Ovis aries: one gene and its partners. The protein of the gene in region 2 binds, or shares a complex with, the protein of the main gene of each other region. Links are inferred from orthologs where the notes say so. Each region holds a gene or a part of one and is shown on either strand. Other genes may lie near its edges. The genes, in order: EDNRB, EDN1 and EDNRA.

Evidence for each region.
Region 1: the proteins of EDN1 (region 2) and EDNRB are in contact, whole or in part, in a cryo-EM structure (PDB 8XWP), measured with the Homo sapiens proteins. The link is inferred for Ovis aries from reciprocal best matches to the Homo sapiens genes EDN1 and EDNRB. Residues at the interface, in NP_001403492.1 of Homo sapiens: Cys53, Ser54, Cys55, Ser56, Ser57, Leu58, Glu62, Cys63, Val64, Tyr65, Phe66, Cys67, His68, Leu69, Asp70, Ile71, Ile72, Trp73; in NP_000106.1 of Homo sapiens: Pro88, Pro89, Ile94, Glu95, Ile157, Asn158, Lys161, Glu165, Asp166, Trp167, Val177, Pro178, Gln181, Lys182, Val185, Phe240, Ile243, Met245, Tyr247, Leu252, Ile254, Leu256, Leu257, His258, Pro259, Lys270, Lys273, Leu277, Trp336, Leu339.
Region 3: the proteins of EDN1 (region 2) and EDNRA are in contact, whole or in part, in a cryo-EM structure (PDB 8HCQ), measured with the Homo sapiens proteins. The link is inferred for Ovis aries from reciprocal best matches to the Homo sapiens genes EDN1 and EDNRA. Residues at the interface, in NP_001403492.1 of Homo sapiens: Cys53, Ser54, Leu58, Asp60, Lys61, Glu62, Cys63, Val64, Tyr65, Phe66, Cys67, His68, Leu69, Asp70, Ile71, Ile72, Trp73; in NP_001948.1 of Homo sapiens: Tyr68, Gln72, Thr73, Lys74, Tyr129, Asp133, Ile136, Asn137, Lys140, Leu141, Gly144, Arg145, Trp146, Gln165, Lys166, Val169, Glu220, Phe224, Val227, Phe229, Tyr231, His236, Lys237, Thr238, Cys239, Met240, Leu241, Asn242, Gln252, Lys255.

The regions. Positions count from the first base shown.
Region 1 is NC_056063.1:53,628,113-53,631,764, forward strand, and holds part of EDNRB (endothelin receptor type B), read right to left. Parts: intron 2,887-3,652; coding exon 2,774-2,886; intron 2,640-2,773; coding exon 2,435-2,639; intron 819-2,434; coding exon 669-818; intron 1-668. UniProt on the Homo sapiens protein: Non-specific receptor for endothelin 1, 2, and 3. Mediates its action by association with G proteins that activate a phosphatidylinositol-calcium second messenger system.
Region 2 is NC_056073.1:43,365,888-43,368,284, forward strand, and holds part of EDN1 (endothelin-1), read right to left. Parts: intron 1,916-2,397; coding exon 1,757-1,915; intron 1,605-1,756; coding exon 1,491-1,604; intron 1-1,490. UniProt on the Homo sapiens protein: Endothelins are endothelium-derived vasoconstrictor peptides. Probable ligand for G-protein coupled receptors EDNRA and EDNRB which activates PTK2B, BCAR1, BCAR3 and, GTPases RAP1 and RHOA cascade in glomerular mesangial cells.
Region 3 is NC_056070.1:10,804,069-10,808,162, forward strand, and holds the start of EDNRA (endothelin-1 receptor), read right to left. Parts: upstream 2,854-4,094; 5' UTR 2,498-2,853; intron 1,269-2,497; 5' UTR 995-1,268; intron 1-994. UniProt on the Homo sapiens protein: Receptor for endothelin-1. Mediates its action by association with G proteins that activate a phosphatidylinositol-calcium second messenger system. The rank order of binding affinities for ET-A is: ET1 > ET2 >> ET3.

The DNA of each region.
Region 1 (3,652 bases), on a different chromosome or scaffold from region 2:
TGTTGGTTATTCATTTTAAATATAGCTGTGTGTACATGTCCATTTCAAACCTCCTAACTAGCCGGCCTTTCCTCTCATCCTAGAGATTCATCTTTAAAAAGTAATGGCTTACATGTGCAATCTAGAAAAATGGTACAGATGAGCCTACTTGCAGGGCAGGAATAGAGACACAGACATAGAGAAAGGGTGTATGGACACCAAGCAGGGGAGAGGAGGGTAGGATGAACTGGGAGATGAGATTTGACCTAAATACACTACCATGTGTAAATGGATAGTGGGGACCTGCAGTGTGACACAGGGAGGTCAGCTCTGTGATGACCTAGCTGAGTGGGATGGGCGGTGATGAGAGGGAGGTCCAAGAGGGGGGGATCTATGTACACATACAGCTGATTCACTTCACTGCACAGCAGAAACTAACATAGCACTGCAAAGCAATTATACTCCAATAAAAGACGGTTTCTCTAAAAAAGTGATGGCTCTTTTTACATTCCTTTAGATTATGTAGGATACCTCCAGGTAGATAGCACAGAACATATTAAAAATATCAGACTAAGAAAAAGCAATTATGCTCTAGTAGATGATACTTTCAGTTTATTGTCACTACAATAATTTTCATATTCATAATTGGAATTGTAATCATGAGTCAGCAAATATTTCTATTTCCTTACCTGTTTTAAGTGATCATTTAAAGCAATTTGCATACCACTCTTCTTTCTCAACATTTCACAAGTCATCAGGGTATAAAACAATGCAGTGATGGCCAATGGCAGGCAGAAATAGAAACTAAATAGCCACCAGTCTTTAGCTGTCTTGTAAAACTAAGGGGAAGAAAGGATGTTATAGTTAATATTCCTCTGTAAGAAACTCTTACATATCAAATATTTAAAAATGCTCATCAAGGAATAATCTCCTAAAGTAGATCCATTTTATAAATACTATGTAGAATCTTTCAGTAGAATCTTTACACCACTATGCAGAATTTTTTGTCTGCTGAACAAAAAATTAAATTAAGTGAAACAAACTTTTCCTAAAAGGTGTTTCAATTCTCTAAGGCAGTGTGCTATAATTATATATAAAAATGTAAGCAATTGGGCAAATTTTTAAATACTTGATAACTCAAATATTTTTGTCTTCACAGAAGTGAAAGGAATTCCTTACCACATCTGGATGTGTAAAGATATTTTAGTGTTTTGGGGGAACTTCTCACTTTTTAACAAGTTTGTTTCTGGGGAAAGCAGGTAGGAAGAGGTCTATAGTAATCATTTAGCTCAGGGATGTATACATCTAAACTATCAACTAAAAATCAAAATTGCTTATAAAATGACTCCTCTCTTACTTGTTCTTTTTTCCTTTTCCTTTTAAAGATTGTTGTTCCAGATATGTCTCTGTTGGAACAGAAGTTATGGAATCTATGCAGTACTTTGGGCTTCCCAGGTAGTGCTTATGGTAAGGAACCCGCCTGAGACAAGAGACATAAGTGATGTGGGTTCGATCCCTGGGTCGGAACAATCCCCTGGAGGAGAGCACAGCAACCCACTCCAGTATTCTTGCCTGGATAATTCCATGGACAGAGGTGCCTGGTGGAGTAAGATCCATGGGGTCGCAAAGATTGGGACATGACTGTGACTTAGCGCACACCCATGCAGTACTTTTTCCATTGTAACTAATAAGAAACAAGGAAACAGCATTTTCATTTTCAGTTTCCCATTAAAGCCCCTCTTTAGTCTTTTGTTTATCATGATCTATACACATATACATAAAGTCTTATATAAACTTATGTGTAAAGTAGAAAATAATTATTTGTGACATTTGGACCCACTCCTTTTGCGTTACTCCTCTTCACCCTTTCTGTTGGGAAGAGCCTTTTTCACTTACGGTCTATTTTCTGATGACCAGCATTGCTATTTTCCCCCATTTCCTAATTAAACACTCTTAAATAAATTGACAAGATGGAGTTCTTTGCAATGGTAGTTTTCCCTTTAGAGACAGGACAGGCTTGTCATTCATACCAAGATTCATGGAGTCACGTAGATTTCTACCAGTCTATCCATACCAGGGTGACTTCCACTTGATCATCCTTTTAACCACACACTGCCTCCAATGACTGCTGTGTTGCTTAATGCAAAATATGTTGTAGCTGCCAGTTCTTATGTGAATTTGAGTAGGAAAGCTATAAATTCTAATCGACTCTCTTATGTCAACTTGGCTTATCTGTATTCCTGAGAACCAGGGGATTCTTGGAGAAGTAATGACCTAGCTTCTTGCAGCATGGGTCATTAGTCCTGCTGTTAACCCTGAGGTCCTGGGACCTACACTTTTAATTTATGCCAAGGACAGTCATAAATCAATAATTTCCCAAGAAGAGGAGATTGGGGGAAAATAGCTAAACATTTATGAGGCAAGAGCAGAAAAGGGAAAGAAAAGTAAAATTTACCTGCATAAATGCTGTTTTCTGAGTGGGATGGAGCAAGCAGATTCTCAGATTATTTCCTATGTGATCACTCGTAATTATATCAAAACCCACGGCCTCAGGGACAGCCAGAACCACGGAGACCACCCAAATTAAAACAATTTCTACTGCTGTCCATTTTGGAACCCCGATTCCTTTAATCCGACTCCAAGAAGCAACAGCTCGATATCTGAAGAACAAAACAGAATCAATTGCCAAGCTGGCAGAGCCTGGTTTTTATTGAATTACAGTTTACTTTCTAAGTAACGTAGCAACCACTAGGATTTTGGTCAGGATATATGTTGCTTAGATACATGCTCTTACCTGTCAATACTCAGAGCACATAGACTCAGCACAGTGATGCCCACGGAGGCCTTCTGAATGAAAGGCACCAGCTTACACATCTCAACCCCAAAGGGCCAGTCCTTGGCGAGCAACTGCATTGAGGAGACACAAAGCTCTGTTAGGGAGATGTTCACAGGGTGCTCTTGAACTGTATTTATTACTTAGTGGAGGTGAATGAGCTTATGGAGTAAAATAACAAATTCCAGTTCTTTTTCTCATGCACTCCTCTGAAAACCACCTGCATTTGTTAGATATCTGGAATAAGAGAGTGGGCTGGCAATCATGAAAGGGCAGCCAATTCAGGAGAATTAGCTACACATGAACAGGAGCTTAGGGTCAAGGTCTCTTCTATTGCAGGGCCAATTGCTTAAGTTCTCCTTACAAAAATGGGACGCTGCTGTACAGCACCAGGAGCTCAGATTAGTCTTCTGTGATGATCTAGAGGGCTGGCATGGGGGGGGGGGGCAGTGGGAGGGAGGCTCAAGAGAGAGGATATATGTATACATATTACTGATTTACTTCATTGCACAGCAGACACTAACACAACATTGTAAAACAATTATATTCCAGTTTTTTTTTTTTAAATTTAAATTGAGCCTGTAGTGCTGAAAATGCCTCTCATATTCTTATGAAGTCTCCAATGCTCAGTTAACAGCCAAATCAAAATAAAGATTAGTCAAAAATAGGTGAAAAGTGTTTCTTAGTTAGACTAGATGCCTCTTTGGGCTTCCCTGGTAGCTCAGCTGGTAAAGAATCTGCCTGCAATGCAGGAGACCTGGGTTCTATCCCTGGGTTGGAAAGATCCCCTGGAGAAGAGAGTGGCAACCCACTCCAGTATTCTTGCCTGGAGAATCCCCA
Region 2 (2,397 bases):
CTTCGAGGGGAAAAGGAATTCGAAACAAGAAGGCCTACAGGCAGGACCCAAAGCAAATGTCTTATGGCAATTAAAAACTATCGTTTTTGCAGGCTTAATGTTTTCTTTGGGTGGGAAGAACAGTAACATTGATTTAATAGTTGATGTAATGGAAACTAATAGAAAAAAATAATAATTTCCAAGTCAGTTCAGAAATGGTGGTTTACATAAAATTGCCGTCTGGAGAAGCACTGTGCTGTGCTCAGTCATGTCCGACTCTTTGCGACCCTGTGGACTGTAGCCCTCCAGGCTCCTCTGTCCATGGGGATTCTCCAGGCAAGAACAGTGGAGTGGGTAGCCATGCCCTTCTCCAGGGGATCTTCCCGACCCAGGAGTTGAACCCAGATCTCTCACATTGCAGGTGGATTCTTTACCAGCTGAACCACCAGGGAAGCCCAAGAATACAGAGTGGGTAGCCTATCCCTTCTCCAGGGGATCTTCCCAACCCAGGAATCGAACCCGGGTCTCCTGCATGGCAGGCAGATTCTTTACCAGCTGAGCTACCAGGGAAGCCTGGAGGAGCACTAGTGGCCTGAGTTCATAAACACGGAGACTTCAAGGTCACATGGGAAGCGCTGAGCTTGGCCCCAGACAGTAGTAAACAACTCAGAAGTCGTCCATGACCTCCTGGCCTGTGCTCAGAACACTTGGATCCTAGAACTTCTTGCCACTGGATTTCTAGGAAAAAGTGCCTCTGACCATGACAGGGAATCATAGACCACAGGACAGATCTGAAAGCAGGACTCCTCCCCGCAGCTTGTAAATTTCAAGATGCTTAGGTTGTGGAAGGTTTATCACTACAGAGCCCCTCAGAGCAACCCTGGGGTGTTACTGATCCAGATCCCAGCTCATGACTGATCAAAAAATAAGAAAGCTGTTGAGAATGAAATTGAGTCTCCATTGAATGCATTTCCCTATTAAAAAAGTAAATAAATAAACCTGAGAAATGACATGTTCTAACTCTCACCAACCCTACTTAATGACTTTAGTTTCCCTTTGGCCATTTGAATAACTGCTATGTTTTTGAAGAAGTTGATTATACATGATTTAAAAAAAAAATAAAATTTCCCTGAAATGATGTTTAATTTCTCAGGGAAAGCTGTAAATATATTGACTCAGAGATGCAAAAACTAGATGTGACCAAATGACAGAGGTGTCCCTAAACAGATTTTTGTTTGGATGAGTGGTGTGTGTGCCAAAGGGCAGCACACTGAATTATGTAAACCACTGTTTCTGAACCAACTTGGGAATTATTATTATTTGGTGTTAGTTTCCATTACATCAAAAAACTTTTGAGAAGGATTCTTTGGCTCTTTTAAGTTTAGAGAACACAGAGATTTCTCTTTCCTCCCTTCCCTTCATATTGTCTTGTAAGCCTTTTTCCCACGGAGGTAAGAAGGACTGGAGACTGTTTATAGGTGAAGGGGACCAGCTGTTTATAAGAGTCTTACCTTCTTGTTTTCCTTCCGACCACGAGCTGCTGCTGAAGACACTTCTCTCCTAGCTTAGGACAGTCTTTTCCTCTCTTTCGGTTGTCCCAGGCTTTCTCCATGGAGTCTTGGTCCCTGCCAAAATACAGGGAGGACATTTCAGCAACAGGAACCCTGGTTGTTCTCAGTGTCTCTGTTGCTTTCTTCAAAACAAGAAGAGAGCATCACGAGAGGAAGAAGGTCAGGAGGCCAAAAAGCTGATCAAAAACAAAGGTGTTTCTACTCACTTGAGCTCTTTTCCTGCTTGGCAAAAATTCTGACATTTCTTGTCTGTCTGGCTAGCACACTGGCATCTCTTCCTGTGGACTGTCGCCTTTGTAGGAAAGAAGTCCTTTAAGGAGCGCTTGGACCTAGAAGGGCTTCCGAGTCCATATGGAACAACGTGCCTATTATGGAAAGAGAGAAACAGAAGATATGAGCATAATTAATCCTCTCCAAAGGCTGCATTCTCTGGGGGCAACCGCCTTCCATTAAGACAGAAGGAGAGCCTGCCACAGCATTTGGTAGTGAAATTTAGAGTCAAAAGTGGTAACAGTCAGGACCACGTGCCCATCAATGGCCCTGAGGGTGTGGACCCACCCGGGAGAAAATCACTTTCTGTAAGTCAATGACATTCCGTGTCAACTCTGGACACAGTTCAGTTTCTTCTTGACACAGCAGCCTTGCTTTTTGGCCAAAACTATGACATTTCTGCTTTGGTATCTGTTTCATATTTTCTTCCTTTTCTCTCTACTTAGTTAACAGCTCTTGGGAGGTGGGGGACTTCCATGCAAAACCATGACTCACATGATTTTGAAAACTGATTTTTCAACTCAAGTGATACATGGATATGCTAAAAGGGGCCCCCAGGGAGGCTGGAGGAAACACA
Region 3 (4,094 bases), on a different chromosome or scaffold from region 2:
AGTCTATCCACGGTTGATATCAACCATGTTTAGGAGTTTGACAGTTATCTTGGTGATTAATAAAGCTCAGGGCATAGTTAATACATGAAGAAATGAGATTTATGCAAGGTGTACAGGTCTAAAGCAAATGTAAGGTGCAATACTGTATACTTCTGCCTTCCCCAGAGATTTTTTCCCCAGGAACCTGAATTAGTTTGGGATTTCCCTGGTGGTCCAGTGGTTAAGACCCTGTGCTTTCACTGCAGGGAGCATGGGTTCCAATCCTGGTCAGGCAACTATACCACGAGGCCAAAAAAAGTTTACGTGCTATGGTAATCTATTTTACACCTATTTGTTATCTGACTTGAGCTTTACAGCTCTAGGTAGGCAGGGAGAATATCAAGAGGAAACAGCCTTGAAGAAGTTACGTTTTTGTGACCAAGAAGTGGTAGGCCAAGTATAACCCTTCAGTCTAATTAATCATAGGACTTGATTCAGTCTGATTAAATGATTCAAATATCAATTTTTCTAAGCTACAAGCATACTGGGCACATGGTTCTGCCTAGACAATTGCAAGTATTGGATTGGCCAAAAAGTTCATTTGGGTTTTTTGTACCAGCTTATGGAAAAAGCTGGTACAAAATGAACTTTTTGACCAAGTCAAATAGTATGCAGTTTTGTTTTTCTTTTTTCCCTTGCTTACAGTTTGGAGTATCTGACAAAATATTGATAGACCTATGAAACGCCGCTATTTCAGTTACACAGTGGTGATCAGGACTCCACCCCACACCGCTCCAAGAATAAAGCATATCGTCACCCTCCTCTTCAGATCAGAGATGAAAAAAGGAAATTCTTCAATATCTTATGCTATTTAAGTGATTAATGCCTTCCAGTTTCCCAATGGGAATGAACCTTAATGAGTTTTCTTCAAAGTAAGAGACAAGAAGGCCTTTCTCAGAAATGGAATGGCTCTGTGCCCATCATAGTCTGCTAGGAGGATATTTTGTGAACAGACCTGGCTAGGTGGTTCACAAAAGCAGCACTACTGTTTGAACATCAGCACTTCAGTTCGCTTGGTGAGCTGATTACCGCAAGAGTTGAGGAGTCTTATCAAACTGTGGGTTGTTATCATAGTGTGAGCTGGCTCCCATAAAAACCACTTGTCTCCCTCCTCCAACAGTGACACCACCATTTCTGAAGTCATCTCGCTCAGCCTTGTCTGTTCACACATGAAGCTGCAGAGCTAAGGTATACTTGGCAAAGGCATGTGACTGCCATATCATCATTGGCTGAAAGACACAAAACCAAAGGGAAAAAACCCTCTGAACTGCATGTTCCTCCAAGGATGAGTCTTAGCTCATCTCCATGGATCTAAGTCACGCTGGCTTCAGATCATCACTCATCATCAGTCATAGCTCTAGTGAAGCCTCTCAGGTTCAGACCTGAGGAACCTGGTTTACAGATTAAGCATTCTTCATATTTGGGGTCTAAGGATTTGCTGGAGTTCAAAAGCTATTATGAAGCAAGAGGACTCTATCCTGATGCTTAAACCTTTTCACATCTGGGGACTCTCCAGATCAAAGTTCATCAAATTCGTGATTTGGAAATTCCAACCTTACCCACATGGCATGAGTTTAGAGCAGGTAATTTACATGAAATGATTGCCAGGGTATTTCTCAATTAGTTAACACAAAACAGAGGGTGGGGGCGAGGGAACATAAATAATCTACAAGAGAAAAAAAAAAAACAGATAAACTAGGAACTTTTAAATAAGTTTCCCGCCCCGCCCCCCTCCCCCCACTTTGGTGGGTTTTGCTCACTGAGTAAGAAATTAGTAACTCTCTTGACTGACAACGCCTGTCTTTAATATGCCTCCCAGCCCACCTCCTCTGCCGCCAAGTACCCAGAACGCCATTAGGATGGCGTAAACAGAGGCTGATTATTATGTGGGAACGGCCCTCGTTTACCGCACGTGAAGGGCGACAAGTGTCCTTTAAAAGGAGGACACAGATCAAAACGCCCAGACCCCCACAGGCAGGTTTCCAAAGTAGCTGACCTGGGGGTTCTCCAAAAACATCTTTCCCGAACACATCCGCCCCTCACACCCGGTGCCCTTGGCTACCCTTGGCACGTCCCGGGCGTGCGGGAGCAGCGGGCTGCGGGGCAAACTTCACAGGCGGGCTTTGGAGCCAGCGACACGGGCGTGATGGTCCGCAAAGTTCTCGCACGCCTGGAAAAGGGAGACCCAGGTTTTCTTTTGACGAAAACGCCGCCCGCCCGGGAAGGCGGAGGGGCTTTGCATCAGTTTCCCAAACCCCAAACTTTCGCGGGCGCGCACCCGCCCAGGAAGGCGCCCGCGCAGCCACGCGCCCCCGCGGGCAGGTGATACCAGCCCCGGTGCAGGAGGTGCCGGCGCCGGGCGACAACGGTCGGAGGTCACCTCTCCTCCCTGCGCAGGGGCCCGCCAGCGTCTCCCCCACCCGACTCGGGACCCGGAGAGTAAAGAGTTGGCACCGACCGTGGAGCTCCGCGGGCTCAGACGGCTGCGCGGTCCGTGTGCGGCGCCCGGGCGAGTTGAAGCCGAACCGGCGAGGGTGAATAGCGAGTGTCCCGGGATCCGGTGCGGCGGCGGCCCCGGTTGCACCGTTGCCTCCGCTTCGGAAAACTTCCTGGGCACAGCTTCTCTGGGGAGGTCCTCCCCGAGCCGCCAGGCTTCAGCCACTTGGGGGGATGGAGCTTCTCCACCTCTGGTCCGCAATCGCCAGACCAAAGGGCTGGCTGTGTGCGCGCGCGAGGGTTCGCGAGAAAAAGAAAACTCCGAAGGAACGCGCCTCGCGTCTGTCCTCCACTTCTCCTCGCAAAGCTCCCAGATCTAGTCCACTCAAGGGCGGCGAGAAAGTCCCAGCCTTCCAGCCCTCCAGGGATGCAGCCACTATAAGCACTAGGCGGCCGCCCCCTCCCAGGCCCTGAAGGGCTGGAGTCTTTTTAACTATTTCCTTCCTGAAATGAAAGTGGTGGTGATGAGGGGGCGGTCGTCGAGGAGGAGGGTAGTTTAACAAACAAGACCCAGAACTACGGAAGGGCTTGCTGAGAAACCTTTCCCTCCCCAGTGAGTGCAAGCAGATTTTTTCTGCTTGGAGCAGCTGCAGAGAGTCAGGGTCTGGAACCAGCGGTTTATGCTCTGCGTTCCCTGCCCCTTTGCTTGCTTCTAAGCTCCCTCTTAAGTTTATAGCAAGTTAAAGTGCTGGGAAAGATTGAAGGCAAAAGGAGAAGGGGGCGGCAGATGATGAGATGGTTAGGTTGCATCACCCATTCAGTGGACATGAATTTGCGCAAACTCCAAGAGATAGTGAAGGACAGGGAAGCCTGGTGTGCTGCAGTCCATGGGTGGCAGAGTCCAACAGAGCTTTGCAACTGAACAGCAACAACAAAGAGCCAGTGTGCACAGCAGCTGACTGTTTCAAGGACGTTTTGTGTCTATGTTGTCCCGTGAAGGCTATATACTACTGGCTCAGGGTGAAATAGGAGCTCCTGAAGAGACTGTGGAGGGGTCCAGTGTGTGGCTCTGAGAAACCTATGATTCCTCACGAAATCCAATCAGGGAGGATGCAGATGCTGCCAAAGGTGGGTTTCAACAGTTTTATCTTAAATGGGAATATGGGAGAGGAGATGAGGCAGATGAGGAAAAGAAATAAAAACTCCTTAGAAAAGGAAACCCTTATATGCTCTTGATGGGCATGTAAATTGGTGCAGCCACTGTGGAACACAGTAGGGAGAGTTCTTGAAAAACTAAAAATAGAGCTGCCATATGATCCAGCAATTCCACTCCTAGGTATATCTCTGAAGAAAACTGAAAACACTAATTCAAAAAGATACATGCACCCCAGTGCATTATTTACAATCACCAAAATTTGGAAGCAACCCAAGTATGTATCAATAGATGAATGGATAAAGAAGTTGTTGTTGTTCAGTCACTCAGTCATGTTTGACTCTTTGTGAGCCCATGGACTGCAGCACACCAGGCTCCCCTGTCCTTTACCATCTCCCTGAGCTTGCTCAAACTCATGTCCATCGAGTCGGTGATGCCATCCAACCATCTGTCCTCTGTCGTCCCC